Linked DNA regions of Cricetulus griseus. The protein of the gene in region 1 purifies or fractionates together with the protein of each later gene. This does not show direct contact. Links are inferred from orthologs where the notes say so. Each region holds a gene or a part of one and is shown in the gene's direction. Other genes may lie near its edges. The genes, in order: Tcp1 and Wdr5.

Region 1 (3,034 bases):
CGATATTTCACAGCGTGTTGGATGTGGTGAAACGCAAAACCTCTGAGTGATGTTTTTATATTTTTCTTTGCCGTTCCTTTCCCAGGGAAGCAGTGCGCTATATCAGTGAGAACCTAATTATTAACACAGACGAACTTGGAAGAGACTGTCTGATTAATGCCGCTAAGACATCCATGTCTTCCAAAATTATTGGAATGTATCCTTAAATGTTCAGTGAAATTTGACCCTAACCCCCTTTCACTCTTAAAAATTAGACTAGGCTTTTATAGAATGTCAATTTTATGCAATAAAATTTATAATTCTTATCTAATGCAACTTGATCTTGTTAGAGAAAAGTGACTGAAACTGCTGCTGCCACCCCAGCCTTGCTGTGGTGAGAGGGTGGTTTGGAGTGCAGATGGTGCTGCATAGAGGGAAGTCACCCTGACTATAGTAGTACTACTTACTGTCTTCCATTGGTGAATTGTCTTGCTAAAAGAAAGTCTAGTTGAATTGCTTTTTGTGTCTTTGGGTCTTTTATTCCAAGACTATTGCTGTCCTTAACTGTTGTCTCAGAAATGGTGATTTCTTTGCTAATATGGTGGTAGATGCTGTACTTGCTGTCAAATACACAGATCTGAGAGGCCAGCCTCGATATCCAGTCAATTCTGTTAATATTCTGAAAGCCCATGGAAGAAGTCAGGTAGAAAGCATGCTGATCAATGGCTATGCACTGAACTGTGTGGTGGGATCTCAGGGTACGTAAGGGTCAGCATTGTTGTTTGTTGGTTTAGTTTTGTCTATCTGTGTATTTTTCATAGTATACATCTTTTATTTATTTGTTTGTTGGTTTGTTACACATACAGTGTTCTGCCTACCTGCCAGAAGAGGGCACCAAATTGAATTGTAGATGGTTGTTGTAGATGGTTGTGAGCCACCATGTGGTTGCTGGGAATTGAACTCAGGACCCCTGGAAGAGCAGTCAGTGCTCTTAACCTCTGAGCCATCTCTCCAGCCCCTTAGTATACCTCTTAATAGGCTGTAATATTTGTGATGAGGGTGGGCATTGTGATACAGGCATTTAATTTGAGCACTGAGGCACTGTTAAGCCTTGTCTACATAGTGAAACCCTGCCTTTAAAAAAAAAACAATTTTTTATTTTGTGGTGGGTATAGATTGAGAGGAATTGTGTGCACTTGCAACTGTCAGACTTTATTAATGAATTGCTATCTTAATTTGGTTTATATATAACGTGAACTTTTCCTGTTATGGTTTTAAGGATAAGTCTCTTCTATGAACCCTAGCATTGTTATAGTTAACCTTTTATTCATTTACAGGCATGCCCAAGAGGATAGTTAATGCAAAAATTGCATGTCTTGACTTCAGCCTGCAGAAAACAAAAATGAAGCTTGGTGTGCAGGTGGTTATTACAGATCCTGAGAAATTGGACCAAATTAGACAGAGGTATGTGGGGAGACTTGCCTGTGAAAAGGTGTTTGTAAATCAAGGTTTGTGCTTGGTAGAAGTATGATACAAAATAATAGTAAAGCCAGGCATGTCCTATCTTTACATGTCTGAAACAGGTAGATCATTTAAGCTGAGGAATTGTAGTCAACATGGGCAGCAGAGTGTTGCCTTGAGTGTTAGATACTATGTAGGGCTGCTATAGTTCTCATGTAAGATACTATGTACTACTATAGTGTGACACAGCTGGTAGTGATTGCTGTGGCATCACTCCAGCAGACATGCTTTATTCCATTTTACTCTGATGGGATTGCTATTGTGTAATTGGACTGTGACTGACCAATATGTTGTGTAGATGTGATATGGGTTCAATAATTGATTTGTGATCTCATATATATTTGCTTATGATTTTCATGCTTCCTGATGAGTTCATCTGACACTTGTTAGAAATGTACACAAATGAGCCAAAGCAGTGGTGGCACGTGCCTTTAATCCCAGAAGACAGAGGCAGGGGAGTCTCTTGAGTTTGGGCCAGCCTGGTCTATAGAACAAGTTCCAGGACAGCCTGGGCAACACAGATAAACCCTGTCTTTAAAAACAAACAATGAATGAATTGTCCACTGATGAACTCTGGTCAAGCTGTCTGTCCTTGATAGATTACTTATCTCTGGAGTCTTTTCATCTCTCCAGACATTTTCATCATAGGCTCAGCCGGGTGGTGGTGGTGGCGCACGCCTTTAATCCCAGCACTCGGGAGGCAGAGGCAGGCGAATTTCTGTGAGTTCGAGACCAGCCTGGTCTACAAGAGCTAGTTCCAGGGCAGCCTCCAAAGCCACAGAGAAACCCTGTCTCAAAAAAAACAACAACAAAAATACAAAACAAAACAAAAATCATAGGCTCATTTGAAAAAAAATGCAATTTGACCATCATAGCTGTGCTTCAGAACATTAAGCATCTTCACCATCTACTGTTGAATATACTGTTTATACCTCTTAAGGGTTTTCATTTCCTGGTCTTATGTAACTTCTAGTTCAGCGCTGAACCACTTTTTTATTCTACAGTGTAGGACTGGATTTGTGTGTCTCTTACTTGTCTCTTGTCTTGACTTCATACAGCTTTAGTGATGCTGACTTGGGATGATCATTAGTAATAAATCTATTGCATCTTTAAGTGGGAGAAGACAAAGGGGGATGTTTATCATTTTGGTTTTTTTCCCTTTTTTTGCCACCCTTAATTAAGAACTCAAATTGTAGTGAAAGTTACAACTGCATAATCTAAAATACTGAAGTTGTTAATTTTGGTTTACTGAAACATTTCTCTGTAGAGAATCAGACATCACCAAGGAGAGAATTGAAAAGATTCTGGCGACTGGGGCCAATGTTATTCTGACCACTGGTGGGATAGATGATATGTGTCTGAAGTACTTTGTGGAGGCTGGTGCCATGGCTGTTAGACGAGTTCTAAAAAGGGATCTCAAGCGTATCGCTAAAGCTTCTGGAGGTATGTCTTCTCCCAGCCTGAGACAAACCACTTATTAGTGATGTATGTGACTGGGTCAGAAGTCTTGAATTGAAATATTGACACTTCAAAA
Region 2 (3,823 bases), on another chromosome or scaffold:
AGACAGACCAGCTTTGGGGGTAGATAGGCTGATGTGGTAAGTTGCTGCCTCCCTAGGCTATTATGAAAACTAGTGTGGCCTTTGTGGCCTGCCGAATTGCTAGGATAATGCCTGAATTGTCAGAGAAGACAGGAACTCATTCTCAATTGGAGTTTAGGTGGCCCAGCAACAAGCATGAGCTGGATGACTTCTAACATTTCTCTGGCCTGCAGATGTCATGTACACCCTTGTGTTTCTCTGTGCTCAACTGCTTCATGACATGCTTACATTTAACACATCCCACTATTACCATCACATGTGTGATATTCTCCCCAAATCAGCCAGTTGTTGTATCTCTAGATGGGCTTCATGAGTTTGGGGACACAGTTCACCCTGGGATAATGACTTTTGGGGGGGGTGGATAATGACTTTTATGCTTTTCTTTCTATGTGGAACCACCCTTGGGGCTTCCTGATTTCTCAGAGCAGTCACAGATGTTGGGTAGTAATGTCCTGTACATGCCACTCCCAGTCCTCTATACCAGTACCTCTCTGGTGCTAAGTCATACAGCAGCTGCTGCAACACATACCTAGTGCTTATGTTACCACCTTGTAACCGTCTGCAACCCTGTGAACTGAGGACAAAATCCCTGCCCACAGGGTAGCATCTTAGGTACAGAGGTCAGCTAGCTGGGAAGCAGCATAGCAGGTCCGTCATCCCTCAGTATTTGTGGGAGAAAGACCTTCCATGGAACACAAAGTCCTTGGATGCTCAGGTCCCTTATTTGAGATGATGCAGCATTTACAAGTGACTTGTGCATTCCTCCTGTTGTTTAACTCTTGAGGTGGTTTAAAGTACTGGGTGTGTGGATGTAACAGATGCCAGGAGGTGGCTGCTGTACTACACTGTTGGAATGATGTGCAGTAAGTAGTAAGGTATATATCCAGTTCAGGTGCAGCCATCATAGGCAGCTCAAAGAGGTTGACACAGGGTGGTGAATGCTAGAGTTACTACACTCACAAAAAAAACCGTTTTGTGACTTCCACCATGGCGTACTACAGCCAGGGCCAGAAGGTGCAGAAGGTGATGGTGCAGCCCATCAACCTCATCTTCAGATACTTGCAAAATAGGTCTCAGATTCAGGTGTGGTGATATGAGCAAGTGAATATGCGGATAGAGGGCTGTATTATTGGCTTTGATGAGTACATAAACCTCGTATTAGATGATGCAGAAGAGATTCACTCTAAAACAAAGTTAAGGAAACAACTGGGTCGAATCATGTTGAAAGGAGACAATATTACTCTGCTCCAAAGTGTTTCCAACTAGAAACTCAGGCACGTGAGAAGTGGAAGAGGAAGTACAGTGTTTTTAAAGGTGTCTTCTGCTGGGAGCACAGTCGGAAACATTTATTCATATTGTTTTCGTGGCCCTTATGTTATTATCAGGTGACAATAAATACTGTGAGGTTGTTTTTATTACAAAAACAAAAAACAAAACAAAACAAAAAACTGTATTGTGTGCTTACCCCATCCCCCAGTACATACGTACAGCGTGTGTGTGTCTGTGTGCCATGCACACATGCGAGGTCAGAGGACAGTTTTCAGGAATTAGATCTCTTCTCCTACCATGGGTTCTGAACTCAGGTTATCAGGCATATCAGTTGTTGGTTAAACTTTGGTCTGTGGTGGACAACCAGGTTGCAGGGCAAGGATTTAAATCTGGGCAGGCAACGGGCAGTAAGCCCTAGACTGAGGTAAGCAGGCCTATTTGGCCCAAGGTCTCTTTCTCTTCCCTGTGTCTCTTCGGGTTTAAAAACTGATTTTCTTTAGGAAGGGTTGGCATTTCAAGACAGTTTTTGTTTTGTTTGTTTGGTTGGTTTTTGTTTTGTTTTGTTGTGTTTTGTTTTTGTAGCCCTAACTGTCCTAGAACTCATTATAGATCAGAATGGCCTCGAACTCAGAGATCGCCTGCCTCTGCCTCCCCAGTGCTGGGGTTAAAGGTGTGGGCTACCACCACTTGGCTAGAAATTAAGATTATCATTGAGGCTTGCTTAGCACAGGTCAGTGATATTTCTCTAGGAATCTGTTTCAGATTGGCCTGGGGAAGAAGCACAGGTACTGTTCTATGTTGACTGATACTGAATGGCCTTCTGTGGCCTCAACTGGCCTCACTCTGTCATGTCCCTTTCAGTGTGTGTGATCAGTCCCACGGAACAGAGCCCTCTGCGAACCTCTGGTGGTAATGCGTGTGTCAGGATGCACTAGTCTTTGTATGCACATCTTAGGGCCTGGTATGATTCCTTGGCTGGCCAGGCAGGTCCACCCCAGGACACACCTTTCTCACCCAGGCAAGGGGCAGACCCCCCAAGGGCCCACTGTGAAAGAGGATATGACATCATTGTGCTCTGGAAAATAGTTTTTATGTGGGCAGTTTCTAGGAGGCCTGGCTCTTCAGCAGTGCTGCAGCCTCCCCACCTGCCTCACTGAATGCTGAGGCTAAAGTCAGTAGCCTGGTCTTCAGCAGGCAGAGGCATGACCATCATGAAAGGAGGACTTGCTTGACTGCAGAATGGGAATGTGTCTGCAGTACTACCCTAGGCTAGGCAGCTTTCTTCAAGGGGATCAATTGTTCAGCTCTGCTGGGAGCTTTGGGCCTCCTTTCACATGTGGTGAAGCCTCATATTAGCAGGGCACAGGGGTGAAGACTTAAGAACATGAATGACCAACAAAGGTGATGGGAAATGGAATGGCAGGCTCTTGGAGGGCCTTCAGGAGTAGTGGTAATAGTATAGGTGGCAGGGGCCTCACACAGATGTCCTCCTGCATGGGTGACAGGGAGCTGTCCTGCCTCTCTACTCTGCCAAGAGTCAGCCTGTCTTTGTTCTGTGCAGATGATGACAATCCTCCAGTATCCTTTGTGAAGTTCTCTCCAAATGGCAAATACATCCTGGCCGCAACTTTGGACAAGTGAGTGCTTTGGACACAACCTTCATGGGTGGGGTTCCTCTCTTCCAGTAGCCTAGTTGAGGTGTTTTACATTTGGGTATTAGTGCTTAGCCCTGGACTGTGGGCTGAGGGGCTGAAGAAAGGCTGTCCACTCCAGATAGTTGTAGTATAAGAAAGATTTCCTACACAGAGATGAGGCAGGACAGGTAGCCTCTGAAGGTCTTCTTGAGCCTCTGAGCTCATTGACTTTTGGTTTGTTTGCTTTCAGTGAGGGGCTGGAGCCCATGGCCTCACACATACTAGGCTGGCTTTAAGCCAGTTCTCAGCCTCTGACCCCCTTCTAGGTGCTCGTGTAAGCTGGTACACTGTATAGGGTCTTAAAGGAACCTTGCCTGCTCACCCCTATTGAGAGCTCCTGATGGATGTTATCCTGGTTAGCCTACCATTTCTTCCCATGGCCAGCATGCACCTCTGTTTGGAGGATGAGTGAGCAGAAGATGTTTCTGGAGCCCACGTGGTTTTCTACATTCTGCTTATGGCTAACCCCTGGTTTGGGGAAGACAGCCAGCAACCTCTTTTCTTCAGTCTGTCTCTGAACTACAAGTACTAGGGTCCTTGTGTTTGCTCTTGTGTGCCATGGATCCTCTATCCTGACACCCATGGTTGTTGGGAAGTGGTGGCATCAGAGGCGTGGCGGGGCCAAAAATGGGCTGCTCCTCACTCCCACTCTCTATTTCAGCACTCTGAAGCTCTGGGACTACAGCAAGGGGAAGGTGAGCTTCAGGCACGCGGCTGGCCTGGCTTTCTGTGTGCCAGCCCCAGGTAACAGGTTGAGGGGTGGTGCAGCAGACCCAGGAGTTGAAGCAAGAGAGACTAAGAGCCTATCCTTAGCCTTCAAA

The links.
Region 2: the proteins of Tcp1 (region 1) and Wdr5 purify together in Homo sapiens (affinity purification with mass spectrometry; 3 studies listed by BioGRID and IntAct, with this or other methods). This does not show direct contact. The link is inferred for Cricetulus griseus from reciprocal best matches to the Homo sapiens genes TCP1 and WDR5.

The regions. Positions count from the first base shown.
Region 1 is NC_048595.1:288,140,836-288,143,869, reverse strand, and holds part of Tcp1 (T-complex protein 1 subunit alpha), read left to right. Parts: intron 1-85; coding exon 86-196; intron 197-555; coding exon 556-737; intron 738-1,316; coding exon 1,317-1,443; intron 1,444-2,767; coding exon 2,768-2,943; intron 2,944-3,034. UniProt on the Homo sapiens protein: Component of the chaperonin-containing T-complex (TRiC), a molecular chaperone complex that assists the folding of actin, tubulin and other proteins upon ATP hydrolysis.
Region 2 is NC_048599.1:139,208,660-139,212,482, forward strand, and holds part of Wdr5 (WD repeat-containing protein 5), read left to right. Parts: exon of another isoform or gene 1-2,861; intron 2,862-2,869; coding exon 2,870-2,945; intron 2,946-3,663; coding exon 3,664-3,697; intron 3,698-3,823.